4 linked regions of the Yarrowia lipolytica genome follow. The protein of the gene in region 2 interacts with the protein of the main gene of each other region in a biochemical or structural test. Links are inferred from orthologs where the notes say so. Each region holds a gene or a part of one and is shown on either strand. Other genes may lie near its edges. The genes, in order: YALI1_E19082g, YALI1_B21562g, YALI1_B23061g and YALI1_D02831g.

The links.
Region 1: the proteins of YALI1_B21562g (region 2) and YALI1_E19082g form a complex in vitro, tested with the Saccharomyces cerevisiae proteins (2 studies listed by BioGRID). The link is inferred for Yarrowia lipolytica from reciprocal best matches to the Saccharomyces cerevisiae genes MCM6 and PSF2.
Region 3: the proteins of YALI1_B21562g (region 2) and YALI1_B23061g form a complex in vitro, tested with the Saccharomyces cerevisiae proteins (2 studies listed by BioGRID). The link is inferred for Yarrowia lipolytica from reciprocal best matches to the Saccharomyces cerevisiae genes MCM6 and SLD5.
Region 4: the proteins of YALI1_B21562g (region 2) and YALI1_D02831g form a complex in vitro, tested with the Saccharomyces cerevisiae proteins (2 studies listed by BioGRID). The link is inferred for Yarrowia lipolytica from reciprocal best matches to the Saccharomyces cerevisiae genes MCM6 and PSF3.

The regions. Positions count from the first base shown.
Region 1 is NC_090774.1:1,906,347-1,909,503, forward strand, and holds YALI1_E19082g (uncharacterized protein), read left to right. Parts: upstream 1-1,862; coding exon 1,863-2,630; downstream 2,631-3,157. Other genes in the region: YALI1_E19070g (uncharacterized protein), read left to right, coding at 630-637, 690-942; YALI1_E19098g (uncharacterized protein), read right to left, coding at 2,952-3,157. UniProt on the Saccharomyces cerevisiae protein: Functions as part of the GINS complex which plays an essential role in the initiation of DNA replication by binding to DNA replication origins and facilitating the assembly of the DNA replication machinery.
Region 2 is NC_090771.1:2,154,607-2,159,541, reverse strand, and holds YALI1_B21562g (uncharacterized protein), read right to left. Parts: upstream 3,274-4,935; coding exon 508-3,273; downstream 1-507. Other genes in the region: YALI1_B21594g (uncharacterized protein), read right to left, coding at 52-112; YALI1_B21538g (uncharacterized protein), read right to left, coding at 3,932-4,935. UniProt on the Saccharomyces cerevisiae protein: Acts as a component of the MCM2-7 complex (MCM complex) which is the putative replicative helicase essential for 'once per cell cycle' DNA replication initiation and elongation in eukaryotic cells.
Region 3 is NC_090771.1:2,304,317-2,307,446, reverse strand, and holds YALI1_B23061g (uncharacterized protein), read right to left. Parts: upstream 1,329-3,130; coding exon 546-1,328; downstream 1-545. Other genes in the region: YALI1_B23055g (uncharacterized protein), read left to right, coding at 1,944-3,130. UniProt on the Saccharomyces cerevisiae protein: Required for DNA replication. Functions as part of the GINS complex which plays an essential role in the initiation of DNA replication by binding to DNA replication origins and facilitating the assembly of the DNA replication machinery.
Region 4 is NC_090773.1:282,249-285,695, reverse strand, and holds YALI1_D02831g (uncharacterized protein), read left to right. Parts: upstream 1-1,773; coding exon 1,774-1,818; intron 1,819-2,013; coding exon 2,014-2,082; intron 2,083-2,512; coding exon 2,513-2,926; downstream 2,927-3,447. Other genes in the region: YALI1_D02852g (uncharacterized protein), read right to left, coding at 1-416; YALI1_D02804g (uncharacterized protein), read right to left, coding at 3,397-3,447. UniProt on the Saccharomyces cerevisiae protein: Functions as part of the GINS complex which plays an essential role in the initiation of DNA replication by binding to DNA replication origins and facilitating the assembly of the DNA replication machinery.

The sequences.
Region 1 (3,157 bases), on a different chromosome or scaffold from region 2:
ATCTTTCTCTGGCCCGCTTCGCAACTCTCAGACGCACTTTTGCCCCAATTACCCCCACCGCAAGTTGCTAGCACATGCCCCTGAAATTAAAGGCATCCCACCCTGCACTGAGACACATGAAAGTTGCCAAGCAAAAAAAACAAAAAACAAAACAAAAAAAGAACACCTGAAAACAGTTACGTCATGACGATTATCAGTGGTGTGAGAGGTGGTGTCGGTAGGACGGGGGGAAATGGCTCCACTGTGCTCCAGATGGACCACTTCAAGAGATCCTATCGGCACCTACTGGCAAATGTTTGTACGTTGCACCACCCTTGTCTTCCTCTTCCACAGCCCTCGTCAACCACAGTTGCCACATTCATGTCTCTCATTTTAGTGTCTCTTTCCGAATACTCCGTCGATGCTGTTTGTTGATATGTTGCTATACAGGATGCGTAGATGCTGTACGAGTACCGTTCGGCAGCGAAAGCGGTACGCGTGGAGAAAGTACATTCAAGTTGAACATTGACTTCCCCTTCTGACCCTCATCTAATTACAGGACCTACAAGTTCGGCGGTACTGTAAAGTACGACCACGGGTACGTCTACCACTACCACTACCACTACCACTACAGTACAACTACTCCTCCAATGGTACTGTACGTCGCAAATGACGTCACGACAGTATGAAACAGTGGTATGAGTTGGGAGGATTACGTCAACAGATCGACAAGTTCGAGTACTTTCCCGAACCTCAGAGCTCCGAACCTCAGACTCCGAACCTCAGACTCCGAACCCTTGCCAACTTAACTCCGACTCAAGTCCAGTCCTAAATCGATCTCCAACTCGACCTCCAACTCGACCTCCAACTCGACCTCCAACTCCGATGACCAAATCCAAGACTTGGTCGCGATCGGAGTTTGGAGTTTGGCGCAAGACCGACTGTGGTTCTCCCGGAAACTAGCAATCTAATGACTAATGACTCATGACTCAAACCATCCCGGCTGGTGCGCAGACATCCGGCTGGTGCGCAGACATCCGGCTGGTGCGCAGACATCCGAGAGCTCTATCGCTACAAGTACTTGCTTTGCTCTCACTAAATGTCTCACACTCTATCTTCGTCGGCCAGCATGTGAAGGCATCAAATCGGAGGTGGGGTGTCAGAGGATTACAGACGGTGTCAGAGGACTACAGACAATTGTTATCGTTCACTTGGTGGTTCAGATGACGATTCGACCCCTGCCAGACACGAGTATTTGTAATAGCTTTCCACGGGATTCCCTTACCGACGACCATCAAGTCCATGCCGTTGATGAAAATGTTCATGATCAGATCGAAACACATGCTCGTGACGCGGTAAAAGAATATCTATGACATGCCGTCTTGTGCGCACCACCCCGAGATGGAAGAGGTACTGTAGAGCCGATGATCGGCATCCTTTCAGACCAGGAGAACTGCTATGAGTACCTGAGCATAAGTGAATGGACCTGACACGAGTCTGGGGAACGCTGGTGTTTGAGGTCCTAAATACCGAAGCAAGGGCGCCTTCAGAACGGTCGTATTCTCGACATTTGCCCCCAAGGGGTCTCCAAGAATACGGGTTGTGACTTCATAGACATTTGGAATAGAGCTACCAGAAGCTATCTCTTCATAAAAACATCAAAACTTGCATGACCATTTGCCACCAAAAACCGTCACTATCCCATGACACGCCGAGTATTCGTGGTCGTATCTCCAATTTAATTCTCTCGGTAATATTATACGCCTCGTAATCGAACCCACAATCTTTCATCATGCATCATATATGCAGGATAATTTCAACGGAAACGCGTGAAGTGATTAGATTAGCCATCGTCGCACACCAACCAGCAAGAAGAAGAAAAAATGTCGGTGCCAGCGGAACAGCTGGAGACCTTCCTGCCGTCGGAGCTGCATTTCATGGCGGAGAATGAGACCATCGAGATCCTGCCGCGACGAGTCGGCAACCCCATCAAGCTGGCAGGCACAGATCTGCCTCTCATGCATCCTCTTCGAAAGAACAGAGTCCCCATCTGGATGGCCATCGCGCTCAAGAAACAGCAGCGGTGTCAGTTCGTGCCCCCGGACTGGATGGAGGAAAGCAATTTGCGGCGGATCTTGGCTTTTGAGCATGCCAACCCCACCGCGTTCTCCAACGTGGATTTCCACTGGCTGGAAATCGCCCAGATTGTGCTCACCACCGCTCCAGACGACCTCACCTCGCCGCCACAGGTGATCCGAAACCTCGTGCGAGATATCCGAGAGGTGCGGGAGCAAAAAAGTCGACAGGGTATGAAGGAGGTCAACGAAAACATGCTGCAGATGGACCGACTGGGGGCTCTGGAGATCAACGAAATGAGACCGTTTGTGGTAGAAGGCATGGAGGAAATGATCAAGATCCGCAAGGCCGGCAAGAAGGAGGAGCCCATAATCTATTCGGAAAGTGACAACCCCGAGGACGACGAGGATGATGAGCCTACTTATGGACATGACGACGAGTCTTCGTTGGCTGTGCCTTCATCTCAACTGGACTCTTCGTTGCGATATGGAGACCGAGTGGACACTTCGGAAAGAAGACGAGAGTTGTCTCAGTGGGATGATAATGTGCCGCAACAAGGCGGCCCCGAATGGTGATGTTTCTCAGATACAAGAACACATCTTCCAACATGTACACTAATGAATATATTTATTGTAATCGAAACCGACCAAATTGAAGTATTGAGGGGCAAGCCACGACTAATGATAAGCTACGTACTGTACATGTTGTTACAAGTACAGGGTACGAGTATGTACTGTATCGTACAAGAATTTACGGAACCTTGTAGGTTTGGAGACTGCAATGACTTAGCATGCATTGAATCTACCAGCACCCACAATATCATCAGAAGAAATGGAATTGGCGTTACTTGGTGGTGGTTGCTGGTTGTTCTTGTCGCTCTTGCTCTTGTGGCACAACTAAACATCAACTTCGGTAACCTTGACCTCCTTGAAGGTGACGAGCAGAAGGGCAATCTCCTGGTTCTCAATGAACTGCTTGGCGTCGGGGTTGGCCTTCTCGTGTTTAGCAAGGTACTTTTGGGCCTCGGCCAGGTCCTCCACCACTCGTGCGGAGCCATTGAGAGTCACACTCATGGAGCTGATCTCGTTCTGGTTGATGTTCT
Region 2 (4,935 bases):
GGTGCACATGAACCTCCTTCCTGTGTCATTGGTTGTACTGGAGCGACTTACTGGAGCCGTCTTCAAAACATATCAGGCCTGTTTCACACGTCAAGTATGGCCTTAACTTCATGGTCTTATATCATGGGCTAGCTACTGTTGCGCAGAATCATGGGCTCTAAAAATGAGGCTTAAATCGTATCACCCCCGCATACATGGCACTTGTATATGGTTGAATATGTATAAGATCCCGTGATTATATAAGCTAGAAATATAACTTACCGTACTCGTACGTGTATTAATAGGCATCTCTATTTTACCCTAGAGGCGGCTTACTGTATTTACAAACATTCTTCATCAGCTTTCACCTTGCACATCTTGCTATAAATACAAGGAGATCATAAAATTAATAATCTCTTGGAAAACAATAAAAATAAAAATACATTAATTAGTTACTTACTCTCTAAAGTCGTGTGGTATGAACTGAGTGTGTATTACTGGAGAGCTATCCTGAAAGCTCATTTATCCCTACTCGTCATCAGGCATGACACCTCCTGTCTGTCTAGTCTCCTCCAACTCAGCGGCCGCAGCGTTAGGATGGATCACATACAGCTCAGTTCCATCTCCTGGGGCCTCCAGGTCGTCTAAATTACCTCGCACGGTCATGAGAAGGTTGTTCTTCTTCATTTTCTTGATGACCTTCTTGGTCAGCCGAGTGTGGTTCTCCACATCCTCCTCATCAACCATATCTTCCTCGTATTGCTCCAGCACGAACTCCAGTAGTGCATCCAGCGACATTCCGATTCTACTGGCATCGGCATCGTCGGTGTAGTTCTCCGATAGCTTGGACACAATCATGTTGACCATGTGTGTGTATTGCTGGTGAGTGATCTGGTCCCGGGGTGTGTGGTTGGCTAGCTGGGTGGCTTCCATGGCCTCGTCAACGGCGTCCTCGGCAGCGTCTACGGTGTCCTCCTCCTCGTCCAGAAGCACATCTTCCCGCTCAACGAGAATGATGGTGTCTCTGAGCAGTTTGGCAGCCTCATGAACAAAGGCAGGGGAAATGATGGTCGAACAGTTGGCTCGAGCAATGGCCTCAGAGAGACGGATCATGGACTCCAACTGACGAACGGTGATTCGGTAACTGTTTCCAGCTCCGGTGGCGTCGTCGGCTCGGAGTTGCTGGTACTGCTGTACAAGAACTGCTCGGGCTTCGGGGGTCAGCATGGGCTTGAAGGTACGGGCGTACTTGATAAATCGCTGCAGCTGCTCAGTGGAGAAGGGAGGGTCGATGGCCTCATCAGTATGCATGTGCAGGTCAACGACATGGCTGGCCAGAGCGGTATCCGTAGCCTCATTACACTCGTCAAGAATGACGAAAAACAGATCGAAACGAGACATGATAGGAGCGGACATCTGCACGTTGGCTCGCAGACCGAGTCTGCGGTCATACCGACCCTTGGCAGGGTTTGCAGCGGCCAGGATGGAAGTTCGGGCGTTCAGAGTAGCGTTAATACCGGCCTTGGCAATGGAGATAGTTTGTTGTTCCATAGCCTCGTGAATTGCCACCTGGTCTGCCAAATCCATCTTGTCGAACTCATCAATAGCACAGATACCATTATCAGCAAGCATCAAAGCTCCAGCTTCGATGGTGAACTCTCCAGAGTCTTCATCCTTAACCACAGCTGCTGTAAGACCTGCAGCAGTGGATGCCTTACCGGAAGCATACACAGATCGAGGAAGGAACGAGGTGACGTACTTAAGGAACTGGGACTTCGCAGTGGAGGGATCTCCAACCAGACAAATGTTAATATCTCCTCGTAGTCGAATTCCATCAGCTGTCTTCTTGTGCACTCCTCCCATGAGCTGCAGTAGAATACCCTTCTTGACAGTCTCATGACCGTACACAGCAGGAGCAATGGATCGTACCAGACGTCGGAAAATATCCTGTCCGTGGACCATATCACGAAGCTGCTCCACTTCGGCAGACTTCAGACTTCGAATGTACTCCTCTTGTTCGTCAGCAGCGTTCTCGGCGTAGTTGTCGTTGGCAGAGGCGTCCAGAATGTTGGCAGGAGCAGCGTAACAAGCTAGGAAAGATATCCTGTAGGTCAGATCACGTGCTCCAAGCTCTCTGAGTCCTGTGACGGCTCCAGACTCCACAGCAGAAGTTTCTCGGCCTCCATCTCGAACTGCTCGAGGCTTCACACCAGGCAGGCCAAGCTGAGTGACGTCAGGAATGACAACAGGTGCTCCAGTAAAAATCATCTGATCTCCTGCTCGAGCTCGCTCCACATTTTCACCTCTAAGAATGACGTCGATGGTTCTGGGCATAGATCCAGCGGGGATCTCATGTGCGTTTTCCTGCACACGCACCTTCTGCCAATCCAAGAACACAGAGTTGTCCATCAGCAGCTTCCACATCTTTTTGTTTCCGCACATGGGGTTGGGACAGATCGAAGGCTCTGTGTACTTGAACACCTGCTCCACTCCGTCCACTTCAGTATGACATTCCTGGCACTGGAAGGCTCCCAAGTACAGTTCTGGACGCACTTCGGACGTTCGAGTGACAGTACCCCCTAGAGAAATAAGACAACCAATCTTGTCGGTCTTGAGTTCCCGAATTCTGCACACGACAGGAAGGTTGTGGAAACAGATCTGAAAGTGTCGGGGCTGATCTGAGGCAGACGACGACTTGGATCCTCCAAACGTCGAACTTCCATCCTCAGAAAAGCCTACAGACTGTTGCAGAAGCACGGGCTCAATCTTTCGAATCACATTGGTCAGACCTCGCAGCAAAAATGGCATGAATCGGTAGTATTGGTCACTGATGGCTTGGGCCAGAATACCATCTTCAGTCTCGCTCATGTGTCTGTAGTCCACGAAAATTGACGACTTGTTGAAACTTCGAAGACCCTTGATTTGTCGTACGTAAGGTCGCCCGTCATACGCAGTTCCATCCTCGTCATCAGAGTACTCTTCCGGATTTGATCCATCAACGTAAGTCTCCAGAAACTCTTCAAATAGATCACGCACCTTCTCTCCAGTGGCGTCCTGAACCTTGGGAACTGTTTCTTGCTCCATAATTCGCCGCATTCGCACCTCCTCGTCCGGAGGTACATCCATGGCAGCTGGTTCTCTGTATTGGTCAGAGCTAGGGCCTCCATGAGCAGATGTGGTTCCAGGTGTTCGTCCTGCGAAAGAAGAGGGCAAATTGGCTCCGGGCGAGGAAGGAGGGCCGGGGGAAGAGGGACCCTCCATCCCCTCGGTCATTAATTGGTCGACGAGGTCCATGGTGTGTTCGTGTGTGGTTTTCGGTACGATGTGTTGTGTTCAGGAGGATTGGGATATATTCTTGTCCCATGCAGAAAACACGTCGTCTAGTTACCCGGCTTAATTTAGTCCTATTTTGGCAAGGAGAACGCGTCGCGTTCAAACCTTAACTGGAGCCCCTAGCAACGTGTTGGCGGAGGGGGTAAGCAATAAACCGACATACAAACGCGGCTTTGTGGATTTATCTCGTTATTTGGGTTGACAAAAACAGGTTATTTCTACATTATAGGCAAACATGGCGCACAGCACATAGTACTCGCCGAGGTGCACTGTCATCAATGTGGTGGGTGTTGGACAGAGCGTGTGTCAAATGTCTGAAGTACAAGTACAGTATGTACGTATGTACAGTATGAGTATGAGTATGAGTAAACAGTACAAGTAATACTTGCATGTATATTTATTACTTGTGCTGTAATTGTACGGGTACTTGTACTTGTGATGTAATTGTACAATTCGTATGAGTATATATATATACTGTATCGTACGATGCAGACCCCGAAGTAGTGCTCCCATCGCTCCTCGTATGTACAGTAGCGATAAGTTGAATGAAATGTGCACTTGTCCTTGTACTCTTCAATTAATAACAAACAATATATATATATAACACTAAATGCAGCGGTTAGCACCAGAACTTGTAAACTCGGTAGTAGAAGGGCTTGGAGGCAATGTAGGCAGCCTCTTCGTCCATCTCATGCATGAGCAGCTCGAAGTCAGTTTCTCGTCGTCCAGTGTCGAGGTCCATGTCCTTTAGAGCCACGAAGCTGGGCCGTTTCCACAGCTTGAAAAAGATATAGAAGGCCAGGACAACAGGTACAGCCAGGTAGGCCTGGAAGAAGACGTCAGCCTTAGGCTTGGCACCTCCCACGGGGAAGAGAGCGATCCAGAACTGCAATCCAAGCACGGTTACGTTGAGCAGGAAGCCGTACATGGATCCGATAGTTCCGACGTGAGACAAGAAAGGCATTTCTCGGAGAGATCGACCCTGGACCTTCATGGCCATTCGGAATCGGAAGTGGCACAGGTTGATGGAGCCCCATGTGAAGATGGAGGAGAGGCCACAGATGGCCATGAGCCAGTAGAAGACGGTGTTCTGGGTTTCGATAGGACCGGCACAGATGAATGCAAACAGTCCAAAGAGCGAGACTGTGATGATGCCAAACAGAGGTCGTCCCTTTCGATCAATGTAAGCGAAGAAGGAAGGAGCCTGACCTTGCTGGGCGAGAGCAGCGATAGTTCGAGAGAAACCAAAGATAGAGGAGTTGCCGACGGACAGAACGGAAATCATAATGACGACGTTCATGACAGATGGAAGGCCCTTGATGCCGGCAGCCTTGATGGCAATGACGAACGGAGAGGCGGAAGCGTCAGCAGAAGAGCTCTTGTTGAGCAGCTGGGGGTGGTCCCAGGGAACAAGGAAGCCGACCAGAGTCAAAGACACAATATAGAAGAGGGTAATTCGCCAGAAGACTTGCTTGGTAGCAGTGGGGATGGACTTTCGGGGATTGGCGGTCTCGGCAGCAGCCAGGCCAGCCAGCTCAGTTCCGTTGAAAGCAAAGGCAGCAGACACGAAGACGGCACAGACTCCCTTGGCACCAGCAGAGAAAGCGCCGGGGTTGTGCCAGT
Region 3 (3,130 bases), about 150 kb from region 2:
GGTTACAGCACTTCGTAAAATAAACGAAATAATGACCTTTGGTTTGATAGTCTTGTCTTTATAGGTGAGATTCTGTGATGCATGGTATTTTACTTGGGTTAAGTGGTAACTAAGGCGCAATTTGCCCAAGACCAAGTCCAATGCGACCAATACCGTTACCTGGAAGCACTAAGGGTTAATGATGATATGCATTTTACAATTAGATGTCTCTATTTATGGTAAGCATCTGTATGTACAGCTTCCAGGTCGCCCGCGCAGGGTCTCCATGGTGAGTTAGATACATGCTAAACGTCTCGACCACGTTGAAGTGTCTTGCTTTTTAAGGCTTCGTCGAGTAACTGATGATACAGACAAGGCAAGTGGGCGATTGTCATATTTTAGCTGCTTGAGCTCTTGACACACAATCGTCGGTATGTACGGGTGTCAATAACGTAGCATGCGAGCGTCAACTTCACAAAATAACTAACAGCCCACAGCTTGCGTGTCTCAGCATTAGTTCCATGAACTCCCCCGTCGAGTTGTTTCACCTCATTTTCCTTCTCTCATCAAATGAAAACAACATCACCACTCTCAACATACTTCACGATGATGGAGTACTTGATGACGACGATACTACCCTTTCGCAGCTTGACTGAATCGTTTCCAATGATAATCTTTCGTCCTGTATCCTTGACTACTCGCACAAACACTGGATGGTCCATGTTGGGCTCCTGAACCATGCTTGCACTTCCTGAAGAGTCGTTCATCTGTTTGAGACTGTCTGGGAACGTGTTCATAAACTGATGCGCGTACAGATTCTTCAACAGCGCATAGTGCCGGTTGAGATACATTCTCTCTGTTTGAGACATGTTCATTCTGTCCAAGGGGGAAGACTGGTAGTACTCCATGCTGTTATCGATCTTAAGCAGTCGCACGCGCAGATACGACCGGATCAGGTACTTGATACGCTCCAGCTCCGTCTCCACAATCAGCAGTTCCAGCTTCACGTCTGTGTCCGGACTCATGTCTATCGACTTCTCCTCAATCACCTCGATCTGAAGCTGCACACGTTTGAGAATCCGGAACAACAGCGCCTCCTTCGTCGGAAGAAGCGTTGGTGACATTCGCTCAGTCACCCATGAATGTGTCAACTCTTTGATATCAGCCTCCTTCTCTTCCAAAGTACCTAGTGGGTCGTGTGGTCGCACGTTGTTGATCAGATCATCAATATCGTCCGTTTCATCCATGCTCAGACCCGCTGGATCAGATGTGTGCGGCGGTGAGTGGAACGACGAGTCGAGCCCGCTGTGAATGTCCATGCCTTCCAAGTCCAAGTTGTCCTCCTCCATTTTTGATATCGTTGTGTTGTGTGCGTGACGAATTTTTGATGTGCTCTAATTAAGTTGACGCGTCGTGCAGGTCCTGATGTGCGTGTCTAAGCAGGAATCGCTGTGGAAGTACCCAGTAGCCGGTAGCTACCTGGTACATCAATCGTAGCTATATATATGTACCTTGGTTTCGTGTAAAGCTCAAGAAATTGCTAAAAATTATATTACTAAGGTCTCAAACGCCCAAGGTGATGGTTACACTAAGGTTCTCACACGGCGGCTAAATGGCGGGTATTTTTACAACATCTAAACTAAGGTAGCTCTGCTACGCTGTTATTCTGGATCTCCCCAAAAAGATTTTTCCGAAATACTTCTCGTTGATGATGTGACGTGAACGCTGTTTCGTTTCTTCAGTTGTAATTTATATTCCCAATTCTCCTACGTAGCCTCACAAACCCGTGCCACCCCAACGTCTATTTTGTTAAGACATCCTCACTAGATATTCTAAATCCACTTGACTGTTGCAGTGCATCACAACTGCACCCTTTATTCACTGCACACCGCTACACGAACACGAACACGAACAGCTAACATCACACACACTAGTGCTTGCAAACGCTCACAAATAGCCTGGAAATGAGCTCGAGCAGACGCAGCGAGATCGAGGCCAAAAGGGCCAGAATCGCAGAGATGCGAAAGGCCAGAGAAGCTCTTCAACAGCAGGAGGTGAGTCTCAACAAACACACAAACACAGCCAGGGGGAACCTACTAACACAGGCACAAAGAGCAGCACCCTCTAAAGAGGATATCGACCAGCTGGTAGACTCATTGGTGACTACTCGAATTGACGACACCCCAGGATCTTTTTCCATAGTCATTGCTGATGCCTTTGATCAAGTTCCTGTGGTTCAGGGTCCTGATACATCAGCCACTTCCAACACAGCATCAGCGTCAGCTTCAACTTCTACAGCCGCTGCGATTACAACTCGGACAACATCACCGCCACTCTGCTACTCAAAGGGGGTCCAGACCGACCCCATTGATGACGATATTGATCTCGACAGCGACGAAACAGCAGCAGACGCGTCCAGACCAGACTCTGGGACACAGGATGAGGAGCCCAGCATTTCTAGTTACCCGGCCCAGGTTTCAATTCCGCCTCCAGATGACAACGTTAGTATTGTGTTCGCAGAGCCTTCTGCTGCGGCTTCCGAAGACCTGCTTCCGTTTGTGCAACAATCGCTCAAGGTGGTGGAACGGTCGCTCAAACCTCAAAAATTTGATGTTCTCACAGATTATGGTTCTCAGGGACTCACTACAACCCATGATGAAGAGGCGCTCGTGTCGCAGTCTCTCCAGTTTTCCCATTCAGACACAGACGGACGAGCCGTGCTTGATCTTGCTTGGTCGCACTCCTTCCCCGAGCTGCTGGTGGCATCGTACACGGAGAAACGCGACTCCATTGCGGAGGCTAAAGGCTGTGTGAAGGTTTGGAATATGCACATGCCTGCTAAGCCCGAGTACACGTTTGTGGCAGACTCGGACGTGACTTCGGTGCTGTGCTCTCCCTTCCACCCCACACTTGTGTTTGGAGGCCTCTATAACGGCCAGATCATGGTGTGGGACATGAGGGCGTCCAGTTCACAGGCTATTTTGGCCTCTCCACTTTCCGGAAGTGCCCATTCACACCCTGTGTTGGCATTGGACCTCTACGGTACCCAAAATGCATCTTCGTTGGTGTCTGCTTCGACCGATGGAACCATCTGCACGTGGTCCCCCGACATTCTCGCCAAACCACAGGAGAAGATTTTGCTACAGCCGTC
Region 4 (3,447 bases), on a different chromosome or scaffold from region 2:
TTTCCGATGCGAATCATGAGCTCCGAAGATAGCAGTTGCTGAGTCAGTCGCGGCAGCTGGTAGTATCGTGCATCAATCAGCAGGTATACCGACGTGGCTTCGTCGGAAGACATGATGTAGTAGCCCTGCAAGTGGCGCACAATGAGCTTGAAAATGTCCGGAGACCGGTCGAGAAAAAGCACCGGCGGGTTGTCTTTGTGTTTCAGGAAAAACTCGGTAAAGTACGACGGGCCATCGCTTGATAGAGACGCTCCAGACAAAGTGAATCGCTGATCTCCAACCTGAATCGCGTACATTTGCTCATGGGGTAGAATGGCGGGGATGGTGGGGTCGAAATTACCCTTGGGGTTGATCATGGTGCCACCCACGCGGGAACTGGACGCTGAGCTGGTTGATTGGGGCGTAGTGGAGGCCATGATAGTGACGTGAGAGGCTACTGGGTGTGTGGAGGTGGTGATGTACAGAGGAGGTGTATGTATGATTGAACTTTATTGACAATGGAATAATTTGCGAATAGGGTACAAGATGCTGTGGGCGGATTGATATCGAGAAAATTCGACTGGTGGACATAAGAAAGATTTAAAATGGATTTATCTGGTTCAATTAACGGCATGAGTACTCCAATATGCCCAAACATGGCTGTCTATATCTACGTGCAACAACCTTATCGGGATTATTGTGCATGAAGGAAAGATGACAGAAGGGTGACTAAGGCTGTTGTCAGAGACCAGAGGTCTCGTCTCGCCTACAAGTAGACAACGACTGGCTGGGTTCTGCTGGGATTTTCAGCCGAGTTTTGAAATTTATCGATTTCCCCGACTTCTTTCTGGGTTTTCTTGGATCATCTTAATTTCCCTGAATTTTTCCTGAATTTTTCTGACTAATTGAAAATTTCATTTTCCTCTTTTTTTTTTCTTCATTCTATTCGCTTAATTATTAATTAAAATACTCGAATTAATCAACACGAATCACAGAGTTTCCAACAGCCTCTCAATTCTACAAACCACCCCAAGCCCAGTGGCACGTGACTAAACTAATAATATACAGACACAACCGCTGACAAATACACACAGCCACCGAAACGTGCTACTGGTAGACATCGGCCAGTAGTGCTGTCATCGCTTATAGTAGCTACATACAGTACGTACAGTACGGATACGGGATGAATGGGGAGAAAACCGACGCTAGTTTTGAACTAGTAAACAATTTGATTGAATGGATACTGGTAAACAAAATCATGCTCGTGCTTGTATACGATTTTATACTTGTTTGGCAGTGAATTCTGGTGACAATGCAGTGTCGCCATGCTGACTCCCCATCAAAAATACCCATGATGGAGAAGCGCCAGTCTGATTTGGTTTTGGACACAATCTGCTGGAAGTTGTAACGAGACAGTGTGTAACCAGCACTTACTCGCGTTCTGATTCTTGGTGGAATCGGAATGGGTGACGCGTTGATCTCTTCAGTTGAGCAGAGCAGCACTAACCGGAGAGCTGCCAGGTCGTGCTCAAGACTGTCGCTGACCAACGATTGAGAAGTAGAGAACGAACACACGTTGAGACATCGAGCTGAGACGATATATTGATGTCGATGCGTTATATACTTCAGCTTATCAACTGAGATACTCGTTTACATCAGCGGTGTGGCGTCTCGGTCTCCCATAGAAGCTACAGTACATACTGTACATCTCAAACGCACAACGCCAAACGCGAAATTATAATTAAGGTGCATCAGGATGTTATACTGTGCTAACACACTCACACACAATACAACATGGGTGGATATTACGATCTGGACGAGATTCTGATGGAGGGTCAGGTGAGTACACGGGATGGCATGACTGCAGCGAATAGTGCATTTATCAGGGAGTCCATTACCTGGATGGAACTTGCACGCTAAGATTGTGACTGAGGCTCAGCTTGAGTACGAGTCAGATTCTAGTACGAGTAGAATGGATCTCGTCTAGACGAGCTCTCTTCTGTCCCCATTTGCTCACACCCATTGCTAACACAGAAAATCCCTTGCCGATTTGAAGTTGGAGTCCCGAACTTGGGCTTCTTGGAAGGACGAGGACGGAAAGACGTGAGTATGAGGTTATGGAGAGGTCGGGTTGGATACGGAGGTGGTCCCTAGGCCAAGTCCGCTATGATATAGCTGGTCTATATGATGAATTAGCTGCGGTGCCCTCCCTGGTCCTGTCTGGTTCTGCATACGTTTGATGTGCTCTTGCGATTATAAGTTGAGACTGCCTACACACAGCTTGATATCGTCGAGGTCAATGAACTTCTAAATCATGGGCTTGACCTTTGTTTGTTAACTTCTGATGTTCTGATCTGCTCTTGAGAGCTAAATGAACATATTGTCGGCCAGACTTGCTTCCTGATGAACTCATGTCCAGCCTTTGGAGCCCTCTACGTGTTGTCAGTGGCATTCTATTATTTGGCGACACTCTTGTTCGCTTACGCGCACCGGTCCACGGACTCCCGGTTTTCGTTTCTCTCAGCTAACCAAGATGAACGAAGGTACAATCATTGATCTCCCCATTTGGATCGCAGACGTGCTCTCACAGTCTGAATACGACCCGTATTCCGGCAACCAAGAGTGTTTTGTGACCGTCAAGATCCCGCACGCTCTCAAGCCCAGTGTCTTGAACGCTCTCAAAACGGATGCTCCTGGCGTCGATCTTCGATACCAGTCTCCTCTCTTCTTTGCCCTGGCCATCTACTACCTAGAGCTCTTTGAAGACGAGGAACTGGAGACTATTATCGCCACAGCCATGGCCGAGCGGATATCGGATATTTATGACAATGTTGGCCGACGAGGAGAGTTTGTACACAAGTACGATGAATTTGAGAAGATGTTGTACAAAAAGGGGTGTGCCTCGAGACGGGCGTATAAGGAGTACATGGCGACGATTAAGTATTAATCGAACGAAATGTGTTTCTTGACTGGAATTATACTGCATACTAATGAATTGATGGAATGGATATAAAGCTAAAGAGCTCTCGGTGTCGCGCTTCTAGCTACCTGCGATACTACATATATATATGGAAGGGACGTCCAGCAGGAGAAATCTGAAGGGGACACTGTAGCTGACTCATGGTGAATACAGGCTTACAGTAGAGTATAAAGAGGCGCTTTTTAGTTGACTACTGTACTGTAGCACTGTCCGTACTATTTCGCAGGGACTTCCAATATGGCCATTGTGTGATCTCGGATTTACTTGGCATTTTGTTAGATATACTTAATTTTTGAGAAAAGGTTCAATTAATATTGAATCTTATACTAAAGCATCCAACTATCTGTAGATAGTCGCTCGCTGAGTTTAGCACAACGACAAAGTACAGTAATAAATATTTTGGTGCAGCATGTACTGTACAATTATGTACAGCTTGCTCACCATCTAACACCAACCGCAATTCCATCCCCCAACCCCTCTCCCTCTTC